3 linked regions of the Caenorhabditis elegans genome follow. The protein of the gene in region 1 interacts with the protein of each later gene in a pairwise test. Each region holds a gene or a part of one and is shown in the gene's direction. Other genes may lie near its edges. The genes, in order: mig-10, F42H10.3 and nphp-1.

Region 1 (5,913 bases):
TCAAGTCTGGTCAAAGTTTGACACAAGTTTTGATAGCTTCTGAGATAAGTTGTTTTTTTCCGCAAAACAAACTGCTGCGAAATTCCTGAAAAGGTTATTTGATATATATTCAGAACTTCCACAATCCGGAATCAGAAAACATTTCCCTACAAGAAAATTACCAACTAACCTATTTATTCCACTCCGGGCAGTACTTTTTTCCCGATGACTCACCGTTCCTCCATTCAAATGCCTACTTTTATAATTTATTCACCTTCTACCTCCTTATAAATATCATAACTATAGTCACTTTCTCAATGGATTTTACATTTTCTGAACGTTTTCTCTTGTTCTTCTGTTCCATCCCAACATGTCCATATTATCCTGTTAGCGAGAAAGAAGGAGGACCAATTAGTTTTCGAAAACGCTGCAGCCGAGACCCCCCGTGATTGAGGTTAGCAAATGACTAATTGGAGTTTCTGGAGCATGGGTCAGCAGCCATTCAATTCTTCATAGGCTTGTTTCTCGGCTCATTTCCCATTTAAATTGCAGCCTGAGCCATAGAGCTTAAGTTTTGAATGGTGTTCAGAATGGTGGAACGTTTCTAAAATGTTAGGTTACTTGAGTCGTTCCGTTGCCAGTTTTTTCTTCCAGTTGTGACCATATTATGTCATTTTTTGTTCAAGACATGCAGAAATGGTCAGCTCTAAATCAGTCTTATTGGTCGAATTTTCAAAACTTGCTTTTGTCCTTTGTCTTAAACGATCATGACTAAATAGTTGAAAAGCAGAACATTTTTATTCAACTCTATCTGTAGAGTAGTCTTACTATGTGTTCATTCCAATTGTGAAAAACCATCAACTCATCTACATAATGGAGGGTGAGTTGAATAAACATTTTTGAAGTACAAATAGCTTTTCGGTTGGAAGTTTTACAAAAATTCTTGCATAAAATACTCATTTATCTTGGCTAAACTTGGCGACGCTAACTGTAATTATTTTCGGGAAATTTGAACTATAGTTTTCTATGGTTTCAGCAGAAACTTCACTTTTTTTTCAAAAAAAAAAAAACTTGAAATTTCCAACTTCAGAATGTGCTCTATACCTTACTTACCTATAACTACCTTACTGCTACCAAGTTTTTCTGAAAACTTTTTTAAAAGTTCTAGTTTTGATTGTCTTGTAATCTTCTTCATTATAGTTTCCTTACCGTATCGTGCCGAGCGACTCAATTATGAATAATCCTCTTATTTTTTATGTCAACTCTTCCAGATTACGCGCGTTCCTTCCATTATTTGCGCACTCTGAACTCTCCTTCTGTTCCATTTTCTCTTCGTTTTTCTATTCAACCAAAATTTGCATATTCTATACTCAATACCATATTGATGGTCCGGTTGTCCCACGAGACTTTATCATAAAAAGGTCATTATATGCTTCTTCTGCTTCTTTTCTCGCGCATTAGTACGTTTTTGCCGCTTTCTTTCCGCGCGGAAGAGATATATGTGTCCCTCTTTGCTGTCCCCGCCTTCTTTTTTATTCTTTCTTGTTGTTGTGCGGGGGAGGGGGGTATCCCTTGACTTGTATCATCGCTTTTGCACTTTGTTAGCAACGATCCCGACAGAGGGAAGGTCAATCACTTTTTTATGCAGATGTTGTTGTTTTTTCGAGGAGACGGAAGAAAATTTGGTGTAGATTATTTAGTGGTCAATTGGGTTTTCCTTCTGTCTTAAAAACTTTAGACCACACACTCAAATTTGGCCTTGCATCACTTTGCTCTACTTTAACAACTCATAAATATCTCGGTCTTCTTATATTTTATTGAGACATTTTAAACTGTAAAAGTAGGTGTCAAATAATTTGCTATATTTGTATAGTTGAACAGTTTTTCGTTGAGCTTAAACCACTGAAATATAAGCCGTCAATGTAGAGTAGTGTGGTTCAAACATAGGAAAATACGGTATTTAGAGAGCGGAAATCTCAATTTTGTTTTTGTTATTGTTTTATTTGGATTAGCTTGACAAGTCGTGTTTTGAATTTTTTCTAGATTGCAAGGGTTCATAATTTTTTAACTTGAGAATAAAAAGATTGTTCTACATACAATACATATTTTTAAGACTAGAAAAAGTGGATTTATTGTGACAATAAACTAGAGAAATCTATGAAAAAAATTCAATAAAAGTCTGTTTCCTGCTGATTGAAAACTAGATATTCAGAATTTAGTATACAAATATTATTTGCGCAAGTTTGGGCAAATACTTTGGATATTTCTAAAAGTCGAAAAACGAGCAATTTTTGATGCTAGATTTTTTGATTTGACGAATTTTTTCAGTTTTTTTTCTTTAAAAAAGGTTTTTGACCCCTTAAAGTTTTCCTTTCCCTTCCAATTTTTTCCTTCTTTCTTATACGACTTCTCAAGTTTCAACTCTAAAACAAAGCTACATGTACATTTCCGGTAAACTTTGTGTCTCAGAAGATCCATTTTCTTTTTGTTACATTTATTCAAGATTGAATTCCAAAATTTCAGCCAATATGGACAGTTGCGAAGAGGAATGCGATCTGGAAGTTGACAGTGACGAAGAAGATCAACTTTTTGGTGAAAAGTGGTGAGTTCTTATTGTGGTAACCAAAGAAATGTCAGTGGTCCGTAAACACTTGACTCCCAAATGGTTTCTCGTAATTACCTTATGCACACTTTTCAAGTGTTTGCCGTTTGATCTTAGCCAATTTGAAACGTTTAGATGTTAAATGGAAAATGGGTAAAGTTTTTTATTTTATAGAAAAAAGGTTTGGAAAAAAATCGAGTCACTGAATAGTTTGAAGAACGGAAAAATAAAACTTTCCAAAAATCATAAAACATTTAGTGTTTCGAAAATTATAGTGTTTTTTTTGTTGGTATGTTTTGACAAAAGCTAAACCATCTTTATTGTAGTTTTGTAAAATGTTCACAAAGATGCGTTTTTTTTTCAAATTTGGCAGGCTATCTTTACATTCACATTTGGATAATTCAAATTTTTCTTATCGCTAACAAATTTTCCTATTTTTCCAATTATTCGTTTTTATAAAGCTTTGGTAGTATGTTGTGTCTATCTTTAGTGGTCATCAGTTGACCGGACCTTCACCCTCATCGAGCAAAAGATTGCTATCTCAACTTGCGTTTTTGTCTGTGACTCACAATTTCCTATAATCTCTAAGCTGGCATGTTCGTACGTCCTTTACGCCTATCTCGTGCATTCAGATAACTTGATTATATGTTCTATTTGTTGGTTTATTGGCGATGCTTCTGAATTGATTACTTTTTCTTGTCGTGTTTCGTAACACTAGTATTAGCAGTAGCTTCAGCCTAATTTCCAGTTAGGCCTTTTTTCCAATGACCTCATTTCCCGTATTCTATACACTTGATTAGTTTTCTTTGGTTACGGTCATTTATCATTCGCAGATGATTTAGTGACAATCCGGCAAAAGAAATAGAACGGAAGGCCATCCAGATGTGATTTTCTATGATCTTTTCTTGTTGGCTGTACGGTTTTCCTTGAAACCTACTGGATTTTCGTTCAGAATTTTTTGTTGGTTTTCCAAAAATATGACTTATAGCTTAGATCGGAATGTAACAAAACTTTTGAATGTGTGTTGAAGTGTTCAGAACTTTTTATTTCATGTAATTTCTCCAAAGAAACCGCAGCCTTTTTAAAAAATTATCTAAATTATTTGGTAGGATACTAGATTACTCAGCCTTACTCAGCCCTAGGAAAAATAATGTCTCCACAACGCAACTCTACTTCCCAAACGACAGACAAAACTCTTTTTTGTGCAATTTTTTCAAGATGTTCTAAAGTTATGAAGCAAAGTTAAGTTACGAATCAATATTATTCAGAAATGTTCCATTTGTGCTCTTTTTCATTTGTTGCAAAGCTCTGAACATACCAGAGCATTGATGAATAAATCATTCGCACTCTTCCTCGTCTCTTTCTGTTCATTTCAATCTGTGCGCGAGCATGTTTCATGGAACATGTGTATGAATTCAAAAGAGACACAGAGAAAAGGAACGACATTCTGAAACAATGGGTTGTCCGTTCTCTTGTCCATTCTTGTTTCTGTGTTGCACTCTATTTCTCTTTTCTTTCACTTTTCTGACTTTTATTGCTGCTCTTGGCCATGAAAGTGAAATTCTCTGAATTTTTAAAGATAGTTGCAAGTGTGGTCTAATTAAGTTTGAAAGTCGGGGAGGTCTAGGAAAAGGTAACCAAGATACTAAGTAAGTTGGAAGAAAAACGGAGAAAATTGGTGAATTTTTTTCAAGAATGACAAGAAAGAAAGAGCTACATAACTTCAAGTCCGCGAAACGATTATTTTTCAATAACCATTAGTAAAATTTCGCAATGGCGTCTAAAAGTTATGAAAGTTTGCCAAAATTGATATCATTTCTCCTGAATCTCTAAATAGATTTTTTAAAAATAATTTTGTACTGTGAAAAATAGAAAAAATAGAAAAAACAACAAAAATATACAAGTCATAGATTAAACATTAACCAGAAAATCATCTATCAAAAAGTTGAAAAAACTTTATATAGCTCACATGGATTTTCAATAACGTTTTCAAGCCCTCTCTACAAAAAACTATCAAAAAATTTCTAATTAACACCATCCAAACCCCAATTTGTTTATGAACTAACTAAAATCCTCGAAAATCCGGCAAATCCTCGTGGCTAGCCAGGTGTTCATCGGTCCGTGTTGTTGCCATGTGTGTTCCATTTCTGATGTTCATTCATCGTTTTTACCGGAGCGTGTCCTTTCCGTCAGTTTCGAATTGCTTCAAACCTTTCAGTTTTGAATCACCAGAAGAGAACAGCCTTGTCATGGTAGAGTATGTTCACTTTCTTGACCCCTTTGACTCTCTCTTTGTCCATCAAAATGCTGTCGTTCACTCTTTGTTTGGGAGCAATTCATCAAAAATGTTGGCAGATTGTTCCCTGTTCCTCTTTCTTTTCTTATGAAGTGCCATCTACTTTTCAATTCTAGAAACTTGAAATATTCTTTCAATTTTAAATGTGAATTCAAAATAGAGAAGTTGATTCAGAAAAGCCCTTTTTTCAATTTTTAAAAAACTTACATTCAATGTTTTGGTAATTTACGAAATGTTCCAAAAATATGGGCATTCTAAGTAATTTCGAGCATTGGTTCGTCCTCAGAATGTTGAAATAGAGCAATATATGCAAATAAAAAAAAAGGCAATTAAAGTATAAAAACTCATAGAAACAAAAATCTGCCACACTTGAAATTATGATAGGTGCAAACTAAGTTTTCACAACACAATTTGAATTAAAAATTCAGACAAGTTTTTTGAAAAGATTTACTATGATATTTGAGTTTTTCCCATTTGGAGAGGTTTCTAACAAAATTACTTTCTAAGAGAAACACAACAAATTTCTAAATTCCATTGATGTGTTCCATTTTTCAAATTGATCCACTTAAAGAATGCATTCTCGTTTATGTAAACATGAAAGCATTCCCAATAAATTCCATTCATTTTACAGCATTTCCCTGCTCTCAAGTCTTCTACCACTTTCCTCGTCCACACTTTTGAGCAACGCTATTAATTTGGAACTCGACGAAGTTGAACGGCCTCCTCCGTTGTTGAACGTGCTCGAAGAGCAACAGTTTCCGAAGGTTTGTGCTAATATTGAAGAGGAGAACGAGTTAGAAGCCGATACAGAAGAGGATATTGCTGAGACGGCAGATGACGAAGAATCTAAAGATCCTGTAGAAAAAACTGAAAATTTCGAGGTGAGTAGATTTGAACTTTTGAAGCTGGAGAGCAAACTTACTCTCACTTTTTCTAAAACCGCATAGTTCATCTCATAGAATATCAATATTAAAAGCCTTTTATTGAATGTTGTTTAAACACTGCTAACTTCAGAAGTAACAAACTTTTATAAAAA
Region 2 (7,644 bases), 210 kb from region 1:
ATCTAAAACTTTGTCCCAGTGTCCAGCAGATAATCCATCCTGGATTTTATTCCCTTTCCTCTCCATCTCACCAGCTTCTTCTTCTTGTGTTACAACGAGGAGTGACCAACAGAAGAGAATGGAAGACAACCTGCCCTCTTCCTTCATCTTCTACTGCCCCCGCAATCCTCTCTGTTTGTTTCTCAAGAAATTCTCACAATTCTTTAGCTGCTTGGACGTGATGAGGATAAATCAAATCTTCCGGTTCTCAATATTAATTTATTCCAATCAACATCACTTTTTAGAAATTCGATTCTCTCGCGTCTTTTTGAAGCCACAAAGTCGGATTTCCATTATAGAGGTGATCCGAAACCAAACGACTATTTTCAATAGGGTTTCACGTGCCTGCCTACTACCTGCCTACTGTCTCCTCAACATCTCGCTTTAATTAATTGAAAGATTCACCTGCCAAGGGTGCAGCATTGATTTTTTACAAAAACCGTAAGGAGAAACCCCTGAAAATTGTACAACCAAATACAAAACTTTCCAATTTTTCGGATTTCTAAAAATACCGAAAAACCGTAAGATTTGTGATAATAACTCCCGATACATTTTTTACATTCCTACGTTCCGCCTGCCTGCCTGCCGGCCTGCCTGCCTGCCTTCTGCCAATTTTCTGTTATTTTCTGAAACTGCTTGTTCCCATTTCAAACAATATATTTGTTTAAGTTTCTATCAAGGATTGCAAAAAACCAAAATCATGTGTTCTTGGGTAAATATGTCTCTTTTCTGGTGCCTAAGCCTGCGGTTTATTCAAATTGCCTAGAAAAATTTACAAACAATTTTAAACAAAACTTACAAAAGTTTTTCAACGTCGTTTTTTGCACATTTTTCGAATTCCGTTCAGCTTCAATACATTTTTTTTCCAAATTGGGTTTCAATATAAAAAAAAAACGTTTGAAATTTCATACAAAATGATGATGCATCATCAACATGTTGTATGCACGGCTTCTTCCAAGTGTTCACTTTTCACTTTACACCGCTTCCCCATCTTCTCTTCGCCGCCGGCTCCGAGGATGCGACCCGTATCTTTCTTATGTGGAGGGAGCTATTTTAAACTCAAAACTACTTTTTCGAAAATGAGCTTCTCAATAGACTAGTACCCTTTGCTTCGTCTTCTTCTTTTTTAATAGTTTCTTGAGAGGTCATCTACAATCCTTTTGAACTACTTTCAAAAATGGACAGATGCCTGCTCATTTTTTTGAAATTTGGACTCATTATAAAAGTATTATTTCGTAATTTACCGAACATTTAAAACAAAAACTCCTTCAAATCAAAATAATTTTTCCGGTTCTCTGTAAAATTGAATATTAATTGAAGCAAAAACTATAGTTGGGCTCCGAAAATCGCAAAAAAAGAAATGGAGGACATTTAAATTTTCGGGAAATATTATATATATATATATATATATATATATATATATATTATTAAATATTATTATATTATTCATATCGCCTCCACTACACTTTTGTTCATATATTATAATACATTTTTCATTTTCTTCCCAAACCAACAATACGTTTACCGCAACTTAATCGTTTGCCAAAACAAACCAAGTTCCCTGATTTCACTGATATGTGTGATAACAATGTGAGTATGGAAAGTCAAAATGAGCACAAACATAAATGTGTGAGAGTTGTGTGTAGTGTCTTGTCGGGGAGTGAAGAAGGGGGCTCCATGAATAAATAACACATTCTTCTTTCCCGCTATTTCTCAATTTTTTACCCGAAATCTTTGTACAATCACCCTATCCGCCCATTTCATCCCTCGTTCGTTTCTCGCCTCGTTTACTTTTACTCATACATTTTTTTGTCTATCCGTCATTTTCCTACCATTCTACATCCAACCTAACCTAACCATTCAATTTATTTACTCTATCTGTCTATGTTTCTTTGTTTCGCCTTATCTATCATTTATGCCATACAACTTTCGTTCCCGTCCAAGGGTGAAACTTTCCAAAAAGCATAGAATTTGGAAAGTATTTCCAAATTATAAATTAAAAAAAAATTTTGTTTTGTCTTAAAAGTTAGAATTATAAAGATTAAGGTTCAGCAAAGATAATACCTCAAATTGACAGATTTAATATTAAAATTTTCCGAAAAACCCAAATTTGATTTATTTAAACTGGCAACTTTTAATTTTACCACACATAATTTTATAAACCCAAAAATATATGTTTTTATTCTGATAGGGTAAAAATATGTGACAATTCTCAAAACTCTTATGAATTTTACCAATTTTTGCCAATTTACAAAAACATTATTATGATTTCTATTTGTATTTTTTTCTAGTTTATTCAAATATCTTCAATCTTCATATTCTACAGTTTTTATTTCCAGAAAATGAGCAAAAAGTGTGCTCGCGAAGATTGCGGGAAGACGGTATATCCAGTTGAGGAACTGAAATGTCTTGATAAAGTTTGGCACAAGCAATGCTTCAAATGCACTGTTTGCGGAATGACATTGAATATGAAAAACTATAAGGGATACGACAAGAGACCGTATTGTGATCCGTTAGTTTTTATGAGAATATTTCAATTTCTAAATTTTCAACTATTTTCAGACATTATCCAAAAACCGTGGCTTCAGTGATGGCGGATACTCCAGAAATGAGAAGAATCGCAGAGAATACTAAAAATCAGAGTAACGTAAGTTTTTGCAAAAAATTTAGAGAAAAAATAAATCGTCTCCCCATAAATCTCATTTATAATTAAAAAATATAACATTTGAGAATGTTATCCCAAAAATTGTAAAGAGTTTTTAAAATTCTTCCAAAAAATATCTGTAAAATATTTGTAAAATCAAAATCAAAAATATTATAAAATCTACACAAATAAATTTTGTCGAATTCGGCACTTAAAAAATTTGTAGTGGTGTCAAATTATGGATTCTCAAAAAAAGGATCTCGCCACGGAAACTACTGTAAATCAAGTTTTCTTGAAGAGTTCTAATATAATGTTCATCTTAGTATATAATGAGAATTTTCCATACTAAAAATGTAAAAATTAACTCAAATTTGAGTTTATAAAATATACGAAATTTTCAAATTCTTCGAGTTTCCAAAATTTCGAAAAAACACAAAAAAAACTATAAACAAAATAGCTAGTTTTATTCAATAAAACCTGCTACTTCCTATAACTGATTTTCAAATTTTCATAATCTGAAATTTTAGATCAAATACCACGCCGAATACGAGAAAATGAAGGGAACAAAGATCGAAATTGCTGATGATCCAGAGATGGAAAGACTGAAGAAAAATACTCAGGTTGGAAATAAATTTTTAAAGATAGAATAGAATAATGCTATTTTAAGGTTCAATCAAATGTTTCCTATCACGGAGTTCTCGACCAAAAAGCTCGTCAAGAAGAAGTCCGTCCAAAAGAGGAAATCTCACCAAACCCAACTCCAAGTAAGTTGTTCTTCCATTTTGTTGTCCCCATGGACTTGAGAATTGTATCGTCCAAGTTATGTCAAAAGTCTTGCACGGGAAAAACTTTTAATTCTTTTTTCAATTTTCCTCACTTTTCTCTTATTGTTTTTGTATCGCTTTTTACTGCCAGTTTATCAACTGGTCACTGGAAATGGAGGAGTTGTGTATGGAATTGGAGTGGCAATGGTTCAAGAAACTGAAGAGAAGTATGAAGAAAAAGAAGTTGATGAGGAAGAAGAAGACGATGATTATTGGCAAATTCCGGTGATTGTATATCCTAGATAGAATTCGCTTTTTTTTTAGAATTAGTTTTCAATGTTTCTTTTTTCATATTTACCATATTCTCTGAAACTGTACTGGAAACATTTTGTACACTTTTGGCACATTTTGAGGGGAAATATGGTATATCGATATCTAGATTAGATACGTTTTGTTTGTTTTCTTCTACCTCATCTTTGCTTTTTTCAGCTAGCCATAATTCTAGAGCAGATATTTATAATCAATCTTAAAGTGTTCTTGCTCAAAGCTGAAAGAAAATTACTAAAGACTCTCGCTTATTGAAAATTGTAAAAACTATGTGGGACAAGTTCTTGCCAAATTTTGGCAAAAGTATTAACTTGGTTGTTGCTCTAGGTCGCGCCAATATTCAGTCCAAAATTGGTCTAACAATATATATAGCCAAATTTGACATGACAAATTTTGAATCAAATATTTTTATCAGGATTAGGTTAATCTAAACTTAAGTTTTGTCCAGATTTGGACTAAACTTTGCCAACTTTTCAGCCAGGTACATACTTTTTTAGGCCAAACAGATAACAGAGTTTTCTTCTAAAAAAATAACACTGTTTTTAAAGAAGAATATCTTAGATGTTCTACAATTGAAAAAGCAAACTTGCAGTGTTGTTTCTAGAAAGCTGAATTCTTCATTCAGTTAGTATATAGAATTATAGAAAACTTTCCAAAATGGCTTTGAGTGAAAATACTTTTTAGATTGAACTTTAATTTTCAACTTCTTTTCGTGTCATATCAATGTCCTAATGTTCACTTATTTCTCAAATCTCTTCATTTGTTTCATACAAAATACACCTTCAGGTGTTGTTGTTCCACCACAACCCACTGAGCCCACTCCAGCTCCATCCGTCCCAGTTATTGACCAAAAGCCGAAAGCAGTCAAATCGACTTTTAAGAAAGGGCCAGCCAAAACTGTTAAAGCTTAATTTTCCTTTCAGTTCGATTTCTGATCATGACTATTATTTTTCTATCTATTCAAATCCTACATTAACCATGACAAACTGATTTTTTCAATAAAGAATACATTTAATTAAAGAATTATTTCCAACAAATCAATCTTCTCCATTTTTCAACTCACTTTTTTTTTCCACTAACCATTTATTGCAGCTCCAATCTCTCCAATGAACCATCAATCATATTCGGCTCCAACACAAGCAGTAGCCGCAAATACGCATTTGATCTACTCAACAGAGCAAGGTGGAGCAGGTTAGTTAGCAATTGAATTGATTAATGAGCATCCAAAAAGAGCACCTTGTGTATTGAAAAACTGATTGAATGCCTATAAAAGTTATTGCTGATTTTGTTGCTGATTTTTGTACGGATACATTATTTGACCAAAAATTAAGATAATGCTAGGTCTCAGTCTAAGCCTAGCCTAAGTCTAAGCCTAAGCCTAAGCCTAACCTCTTAAAAAGTTACAATAAGGTTTTTCCTTGCGCTTGGAGCGCAAAAGAAAAGAAAAAGAGCTATTTAGACTTAGGGTGCCCAACTGGAATAAAATATAGGAAATCCTTATGACACACTTAAGCCTAAGGGCCCGAAAAAAAACTAGGATGCCCAACTGGAATAAAATATTGGAAATCCTTATGACACACTTAAGCCTAAAGGGCCGAAAAACATACTAGGATGCCCAACTGGAATAAAATATTGGAAATCCTTATGACACACCGGCGGTATGGCGCGGCTTCAGCCTAAATAGCCACTTTTATCGCGCGTCAGTGGGGGAGCTAACGCTCCCCCACTGACGCCAAGCCTAAGCCTTGTCTAATTTATGGTATCTAGTTATATAAAGTCCAAATTTTTCGTTGTGCTTCATGTGTAATTTTCTAAAAGCTTTTGTGTTGTGCATTGTTATTTTTCTTCGCTTTCAGTATCTCCAACACCACAAAAATCAATCGGAAGTATTGCTGACTATGATCCAATGAACGGACAATGGGGTACAGCTGCTGCTCAACCGAGAAATTCCGAGAAACTTGGATATTTGAGTAAGGATTTTGTTTTTTTTTTTGGCTTTTGTTTGAATGATTTGCTCATTTGTAATCCACACAAATTTTTTGCACGTTTTGGTACTTATTAATTCGTTTTGTGGAAGAAATAATCTTTTAAAAAGCTCATTTTGAATAATTTTGATCTGTCATTAATTGAAACTAACCGCTTGTTGCAGAGGCTCAAGTGGATAAAGGTCCGGCAAGATTTTGTGCGGATTTTGCAGGAGCTCCACCTCCATCATCAAATAGTATATCTTCAACATCTCCACATTCAACACTTTCTTCTCCACAAAGCACAATTTCACCGACTGGAAAAGCTGGATTTGCAGTTAAGGCAATTTATGATTACGCTGCTGCTGATAAAGACGAGGTAAATTTAAATTAGGTTTTCAACCAGTTTCACGATGAAAATTTATTCAACCATCTAAAATATTTGATTCCAGATTTCATTCCTCGAAGGTGATATCATCGTGAACTGCGAGAAAATTGATGATGGATGGATGACAGGAACAGTTCAACGAACTCTTCAATGGGGAATGCTACCTGCAAATTATGTTCAACCACATAAACTTCCTACCGGATTGCACCGACTTTCTTAATATTTCCAAACCCACGCACATTTTCTATCTCTCCATGACCTGCTCTTGCTCACACATTTCCCCTAAATGCTTCAATTATGCTTCAGGCTTCTGCAGTTATTTTTTCAACTTTCTGAAAATCCCACAAACGGGTTCTGTTCACCTTCTGAATGCCTTTTCTCCATTTGTTTTTCAATCTTCTAAAATGTTATATGGTGCTGAAATTTAAAAATTAAAAATTATAATAAATGAATTTACTATCAATTATTAGGCCATTGTCATAAATAATAAACCGTGTCTATAAGGCACATGAGAACAAAATATACAGATCTAAATTATACTAATCTTATAATATTAGAAAAAGTCTCCAGCATTTGCTCTATCTGCAGCTCCGGCTGATGTTGAAGGTCCGACGTTATCCCCTTTTCTTCGGATCATAGATTCAATCCCAGGTGTGCCAGGAGTTTGTGCTCCTTGGCTCCAAGATGATCCAGGTGTAGTAGAACCACGACTCCATGCAGAACCAGGAGTTGTGGATCGCTTTGAACTTGACGGTCTTGACCAATTCGACATGATTTTCGGCGAGGCGAAAGGAGATTTGTGAGCAGGTAACATTTTTAATCCAAGCTTCTTGGTTGCCAACTTTTGAGCAGCAGGAGATAATTGTGCAAGCTTGTCTGAGACTCGCTTGGATCCAAATCCAGGTGTTCGGCTGAAACTTTACCAAGTTGAAAATTATTTGAAGTACTATTATCTCGTTATAGATTTTAATACCATAGAGAAATATATTTTATAACTTGAAAAAATAAACAATTTTTAATTGAAAAATGAAAACTCACTGAGCTCCTTCAGCTGCTCTCATCGCAACTTTTCTCTTGTCTCTATATTTGGCCGCGATTGAATCATTCATAGATTGTGCAATTTTCTCCCGATACGGAACCTCTGGTATCTTGAATACAGGCGCCGCACCAGGCAACGAATGCTCTGTAACGTCAGGCGCATCAAGTCGGAATGGTGTTCCATCAATTTCTCCCCAAGTCATAAGAGGAGAATCCATGTCGTCAGGATTTGGATTCGGTGTTTCGAGTAATTTGAATGAGTTGGCTGGAGTTACTTCATTTCCCAAAAAATCAACTTTTCCGGCATTCGCGAGAGCATGGCTCACTGCTGCTCGAGTCATAGCTTCGTCGCTAGGCTTCAATTTTCCGGAGTCTGGAAACCTAGTGCCACGTTTATTTATTTCAGTTTGCTGTTTTCTAGCTGCATCTGCAATCTCTGCAGGTGTCAGAGCTGCCCCATCCGGATTGAAGAGTACAGTG
Region 3 (6,856 bases), on another chromosome or scaffold:
ATAAATTTATTCTTAAACAAATACAAATAACCAGCATTTTAAGATATTTTTCGTAAAATCGAATCGGAAAAAACGGAAAAAAAAAAAAAAAAACGAAACATTTTCAATTCCGCTATATTTCATTAAAAACTATTGGCTAAAATTCAGATTTCAGCAAAATTCGGTTCTTTTTTCGAAGTTTTAAAATATTTACACTCCATAAAAGTTTTGGCTTTTTTTGTGTAATGTCGCATTATGAAATTCGGTAGTTTCGAGCAAATTTTTGTATATTTACGCAAAAAATTCTGTTACCCAGATCCGAAACTTTGCTATTTTCCCCCAAAAAATACACTACCAGGTCTCGAAGCGGCCGATTTTCTCCAATGCCAAAATTTAAGGATTACTGTAGTTTCCAAATCCTCGCTTCTTTTTGGATTTTTTACGATGTTGCATGTGAAAGTATAAAAAAATAAATGAAATGTTTTAAAATGAGAATTCAGAAACTGCCGTACTCCTTAAAAGTCGCTTCGAGACCTATTGTCATAGTTTTGAGACAAAATCTCGCATCTGACCAATATTTTATGCTATTTCATTTTTTAAAATTCATGTTTTTTTTCCAGATTGGAGCAAGCTGCCGCACTTGGAATGGGAAATGCTCGTTCTCTTGCCTCACTTTTTGACAAGGTTTGTTCTCGTTTTTTTGATAAATTTATGAGAATTTTAAGTTTTTTTTCGTTTTGTTTGAACATCGTTATCAGCTGAAACTAGGCTGATAGCGAAGAAAAGAAATTTTTAAGTCGAACAAAAAAAAAGAAAAAGGAAATTTCCTTGTGACTGTTTAAAAAAACTGAAACAAAAACGATAGTTAAGAGGATTGTTTCAGGTAAATCGAGGAAAACTTCTCAATCAGGCTACACTGAACACGATAAGCAAACCGTTCGTCAACGAGAGTGATTTCATTTTTGATGATACTGTCGCCAAGGGACACGGATTTTTCCATTTGCCCATTCATAGAGCTGGGGTGAGATTTTGAATAATCGAAAGAGGGACGAGGGATGATGGAAATTTTGAACTGAAAAATTTTAAAAAATCCATTTTCACAATAAAAAAACCAAAAAAACCAACAAAAGTCTGAAAAAACTCTTAAAGAACGAAAAAGTCAAAATTCATCCAATAAAGCAGATTTTTTAATTTTTGCCAAAAAAAACTTTTAAAAAATCCATTTTTGCGAAAAAAAAAACCACTGTCCTTTTTCCCATAAAAAATTCAAAAAAATCAATTTTTCTCAAAAAAACCCGAAAAGTACCTTTTTGCTAAATAAACATAAATTAACAAAAATTAACAAAAATTAACAAAAATAACAAAAATTAACAAAATTAAAAATAAATTAAATAAATAAACATAAAACATAAACAGCCAAAAATTAATTTTTGCATTAAAAAAGACTGAAAAATCCATTTTTGTAATAAAATTACAACTGCCGAAAAAAGCAAAAAAAAAAAAATTTTGAAACCCCCAAAAAATTAGCAAAGGACCAAAAAAAAAGAGCCCAGGTGGTGAACAGAAAACGAAAAAACAGGAGAAATTGTTGAAAAACCATTAATTTCGAATTCATTCAAAAAATGAAAATGCATAGAAAAAATATTTAAAACCCTAAATTTAGCTAAAGAACCTGCAAAATGTTAGGAGCGTTTTTTTATTTAATTTTCAGTGAATTTTTTTAATATTTTTCTTTCATAATTCGCCATATTTTCAGACTCAATTCGGCTTCGGACATACCGGGCACGGATGCCAAATGGTCATCACAGATCTCAAGAATCGAGTGACAATTGCCTACGTCACAAATGGGTTGAAAACGGGACTCTACGACTTGTGCAGGACGTACTGGGGACTTCAGACTTCTGTATATGATGTCATCGAACAAATTAATATTCAATCATAATTTATTTTATTTCATTTTTTAATTAGTGATTCCATATAGTTTTAAGATATATCCCAAATCATCCCGCGTGTTCTTTGTACAGTCCGTTTTTAATTCATTCATTCCAAGTGTCGTTCTCTCAATGTTGAAGCTTCTTCCCCCGTAATTAACTGACCGAGTGACCCCACAAAATTGCATATTTATCTGCTCTCTCTCGATTTCCTTACTAATAAACCATCAGTTCACCAGTTTTTAACCACATTTGCGGGGAGCTGGCAGGTGGTAACCCGCAAGTTGCCAGGGGCAACGAGGGTGGCTTAAGGCAAGTGGCCGCGCGGAAAAGAGCTTTCCAGGGGGAGAGGAAAGCAGGATGTCCATATTTGGAAGCATTCTAAGTCTGCAGGATGCCATAAATCGATTTCCGCAGTTTGAATATCAGGTGGGGAATATTAATTGTTAACACGAATTTGAAAAGGAATTCGATTTTTTTCAATTTTTGGATTTTTTTGTAATTTATTTAAAAATTATTATTGTGAATTTTTTAATTTTTCCATTACACATTATTAAATAACTAAAAATTGAATTCGTGGTTTATTGTTCATTTCCAACTAAAAAAATCCCTTCAATACCCAAAAAGTTGCAGTGGGGCGCATTTTCAACGTTTTAATTAAATTTCAAACGTATAATTAAAACTGAGTCTCGTCACAACAGATTTTTGTTAAATGCGGAAAGGTGTGCGTCTTTAAAGAGTACTGTAATTCAAAATTCCAGAATTTTTTTTAAATTTAATGTACATATTTTCATCTAAAAACTATTAAAAAACTAAAAAATTCCTCTGCAACGAAAGTTTGGAATTACAGTACTCTTTAAAGGCACACAACTTTTCGCATTCGACAAAAATTGTCGTGTCTAGACCGTAAACCGTATTTTCAAGGAAAAATAGCAAAAGCCTTTTTTTCAGATAAATCGCCTCGAAAAAGAGCAAAAAGACACCGAAGCCGCGTCGAGAGCAAGTTTTCGCAAACATTTTGTCAGACAGTGCCAGGAATTGCATAGACAGGTAAAAATTGCATTTTCTCTATCTGCCTTATGCCTGGCTGCCTACGGGCCTACCTACCGCCCATTATGGGATCTCCGGTTTGATTCATAGATTTTAGGTCGACCAACTTTCTATTTAATTTCAATTAATTGTTTACAAACATTGAAAAATTGTTAGGCATATGTGTAGACCGTAGGCACTCTGGTAGGTAGGCATTCTCGTGCCTACGTAGAAGTATCATTCAAGGATATCAACATATGCATACAGTTTGCAGCTCGACGATCACCGAAATCGAATTGAAAAGGCCAAAACTGACGAGACCTACAAGAAAGAAAACGCTCTAGAGCAACTTGACAAGTTGAAGCAAAGATTGACAGCTTTGAGCCCGGAAAAGGAGCAATTATCGTTTTCTGTCAGGTAAAATTATAATTAAATTCAATTTCTCTAATAAATAGTTAAATATTCAATTCCAGTGTGGACTCTCAATCAGAAGAAGAAAAACCGAAAATGGCTGCAATTGGCCGCCGAAAAAGCACAATGTATAACGATGATGAATCAGAAGATTCTGATAATGATTCAGAAATTATTGAGACGGATGTTCAGCTGGATGATCCTCTTCCGAGTCAGCCACAGCCTCCACAGCAACAGCACCAGCAACCTCAACCAAAACCCAGACAACCTATCACAATTACAAAACCTCTTGAATCAAAGACTTTGAATGAACGTCAAGAACTTGATGAAGTCATCTCAAGGCTTCAGAATCCGAGTCGTGGAGATTCTGGAGAAGTTATGGAACCAGTTGTAGTCCGTGGCAATGTTTTTGTTGCAATTGACAGTTGGGATGCAGAAGCTGAAGGGGATTTGGAGTTAATCAAAGGAAAGAAGTATCGAATCACACAGACAAGATCCGATGGTTGGTGGACTGCACTGGATGAATATGGTCAGAGGGGTCTTGTGCCAAAGACTTATTTACAACATGTTAAGGAAAAGCCGAAGAATGTGGTTTGTTACTTTTCTCTAGTATCGTTAGTTTAATAAGTAGAAATTTTCAGCCATCAAAAGTGTCTAGTCGCCTCGGAGTTCGAGATTCGGTGATCGGAATATCTACGACTACTGATCCATCAAGACGAGAAGCAAACCGGCAGGCATCTCGAGTTGATGACTGTCTTGGTAAAGCATATGACAATGACACTCACTTGTCACTAGTGTGCCATATGGCTCCGAGACTATCAACTTCAAATATTGGATTTCATGATCTTTTTTGGAGTCATTACAAGGATCAGGTAAAAGTTTAAAACTTGCAGTTTCTACCCAAAAAATGCTACAGTTTTGCCAAAAAACCTCTGAGTCTTCCTAAAAACGGCTGAGAAAATTGCTTTAAAAATTTTTACTATGAATCATTTGCTACTCATAGCAACACATTTTTTGCTCACTTTCATAAATCAACTATATTTTTTGCAGGTTTACAAGCGAACTGTCCATATATCAAAAATTATCCGTCTAGTTCGATTTGAAAAGATGCCCCTAATCGAACACAAGGCACTTGTCAGAATGGCTCTTGTCGACATCACAAATCCAAAATCCACTCAAATTGTGAGCAACGTGCACACTCTTGTGCCACGTGTCAAATCTTCAACGTGGTACTTTGAGAAAAAAGAGAGCCAGACGAGAAGCTGCATCGAGTTTTCTGATTTTGTTCTCCGCTCAAACTATCGATCTCCGACAGTGGTACTTGTTGTGGAAGCATCTCATTTGGTGAAGACACAAATAGGAATTGAGGAAAAGAGTTTGGGACATACATATCTGCGACTGATAATTGATGATAAAGCAGTGCCAAGTAGAACGAATGTTTTGTATTTGGATGATGAAGTGATGACAAAAATGAAGTTGCCGGAAGCTTCGAAAAGAAGAGTTCTGGTTCAAGTGATGGATGTTCCCAAGGATAAGGTTTCATATGTGGAGTGAGTTTTGGAAACTAAGAAAGCTGAAAATCTGGATCCCTGACCTGACTTTAAGTTCAACCCAAATTATTTTTCCAGCTCCCTCCCCGATGTCATAGTATTCAATGCTCTTTATTTACCATTCTTCCACTTTTACCGCCGACGAGCTGGAACCATTTTAATTCGGGACAATCGGAATCCATTGAGTGCTGGTAGGATTTCATACCCACCCAAACAATATTTTGAACTAATTTCAGAATTTATATCTGACCCACTTCTCTCTGTATTCCCATTTGTTTGTGACCAGCATGACATTATGGATATAATGCTGAAAATTTGGAAAACCAAAAAGAAAGTGCTCGCCAAGAAAAACGAAGCTGAACAAACTGCCGAGTTCTTCCAAACTTTTCTACACACCGCGTTTTTTATTCATGGGATTCGAATGATTTCGTATGATGTCAAAGATGATCTTACTCTTTCGATTAGGCAACAGGTAGAGCTGCTGCTCTTGGAGCTCGTTTCAAAATCAGGCTTCGATTATTGTAACATTTCAGACTATGCAACGATTTGTGGATGCATTGAATAAGGGACTTTTCAAGCAGTTCATCGCAGATCAACAATGCAAACCAATCAATATTATCGATTATTCATTGGATCTTTTAGGCAATCATTCTATTGACTAATTTATGGAGATAAAATTAAGCTCAATAAAAAATTTAACTGTGTAATAAGTTCTACTCATCTAGCATCTAAGCATAGAAATGTTTCAGTCATTGTTTCAGTAAATTTCAAGTTTTGAAATTTTTGGTTTTGAAATTTTTGGTTTTTTTGTTTAATATTTGAATAATTTAGAGTCGACTCCCAAACATAGGAGTGGTAAAACTGAGCAATGGCCATTTTTCAGTTGTAAATTTTCACACTGTACCCTCTCAAAAAATGGATTTGAAATGAAATATGTTTATTCGCAATAATGAATAAAATTGGGCGATTTTTCAGAATCACAGCCTCATCGAATTTATTCCATTAAGGGGTTTTATTACATCATGAAATTCTGCGAGCTGACGATCAGGATGTGGTTCTGAGAAATCTAAGAGTTCCTAAACTGGCTTGCCGCTGATTACAGTAGCGGCAGCGGAAGAAGCTTCAGGTGCGGCGGTAGAGGCCTCGGAAGAAGCAGCGGTTGATACCACAGAAGCTCCACTTGCAGTAGTATCTCCACCAGCTGTGGATGCAACGGATGCATCGGTTGCTCCAGAGACAGTAGAACCTGGTGCATCAGTACTCACTGGAGCAGCAGTACTTCCACCAGTCGGCTGAGTTCCTTGAGACACGGTACTTCCGTTGTCAGTCACAGGGTTTACAGTGGAGACATCGCTGGCAGTTGTGGATGGAGCAATGGTAGACGGAGCAATAGTGCTTGGAGGTGAGAAGCATGTGTAGCTGGAGTTTACATTTTGTTGGAAGCAAGAAATTGAGTTGTAAAGCAATGTGGCGGTTGTGTTGGCGTTTGCTGATGCGGTAAGTAGGTCTGGAAATAAAATGGAATACGGGAAATTTCAAATGTGAGAATTGAATTTAAGAGCACACCTGGTCAGAAAAATTTACGAACTCCAAAAATATATGCATTAACTTAAAACTTTTAAACTACAGTACAGACTTCCTGCCTATTTACCTGATGCATTATTACTAGCAACTTGAACATTATCATTCAAGCTCTGACCAGTTGCATTGACCACTGTGAAGTTCGCATTAAAACCCTGAAATCAATTGCTCAATAGTCTAGAAAAGCTTAATTGGCACAAATTTACTTTTGTGAAGGCACATGCACCGGTGTCATTAAATTTCAAAATTGTGGAATCCAATTTTGAGAGACTTGAAGCAATAGTTGCAACTTCATTGTTCAGGGTTTGTTCATCGATAGCTTGAGCCACTTCCTGAACGATTTCAATTTGAGAATTTCAGTACTATGTGAAAATG

Evidence for each region.
Region 2: the proteins of mig-10 (region 1) and F42H10.3 interact in a two-hybrid assay, tested with the Caenorhabditis elegans proteins (one large-scale study listed by BioGRID).
Region 3: the proteins of mig-10 (region 1) and nphp-1 interact in a two-hybrid assay, tested with the Caenorhabditis elegans proteins (one large-scale study listed by BioGRID).

Annotation. Positions count from the first base shown.
Region 1 is NC_003281.10:8,276,601-8,282,513, forward strand, and holds the start of mig-10 (Abnormal cell migration protein 10), read left to right. Parts: upstream 1-2,507; coding exon 2,508-2,581; intron 2,582-3,044; exon of another isoform or gene 3,045-3,136; intron 3,137-3,838; exon of another isoform or gene 3,839-3,975; intron 3,976-5,508; coding exon 5,509-5,758; intron 5,759-5,913. UniProt on the Caenorhabditis elegans protein: Required cell non-autonomously for proper development of the excretory canals and for the long-range anterior-posterior migrations of embryonic neurons CAN, ALM and HSN.
Region 2 is NC_003281.10:8,481,777-8,489,420, forward strand, and holds F42H10.3 (LIM and SH3 domain protein F42H10.3), read left to right. Parts: upstream 1-2,376; 5' UTR 2,377-2,381; coding exon 2,382-2,551; intron 2,552-2,601; coding exon 2,602-2,686; intron 2,687-3,210; coding exon 3,211-3,303; intron 3,304-3,350; coding exon 3,351-3,447; intron 3,448-4,866; coding exon 4,867-4,965; intron 4,966-5,630; coding exon 5,631-5,744; intron 5,745-5,923; coding exon 5,924-6,117; intron 6,118-6,190; coding exon 6,191-6,346; 3' UTR 6,347-6,589; downstream 6,590-7,644. Other genes in the region: Splicing factor ESS-2, read right to left, coding at 6,680-7,043, 7,165-7,644.
Region 3 is NC_003280.10:10,647,644-10,654,499, reverse strand, and holds nphp-1 (Nephrocystin-1-like protein), read left to right. Parts: upstream 1-2,243; 5' UTR 2,244-2,270; coding exon 2,271-2,339; intron 2,340-2,861; coding exon 2,862-2,960; intron 2,961-3,213; coding exon 3,214-3,356; intron 3,357-3,412; coding exon 3,413-3,941; intron 3,942-3,991; coding exon 3,992-4,222; intron 4,223-4,400; coding exon 4,401-4,900; intron 4,901-4,978; coding exon 4,979-5,091; intron 5,092-5,136; coding exon 5,137-5,372; intron 5,373-5,433; coding exon 5,434-5,562; 3' UTR 5,563-5,607; downstream 5,608-6,856. Other genes in the region: lact-3 (Beta-lactamase-related domain-containing protein), read left to right, coding at 600-663, 863-1,000, 1,736-1,921; M28.10 (Flo11 domain-containing protein), read right to left, coding at 5,977-6,407, 6,552-6,636, 6,688-6,813. UniProt on the Caenorhabditis elegans protein: Plays a role in the extension of dendrites from phasmid ciliated sensory neurons. May be necessary for initial assembly of the cilium.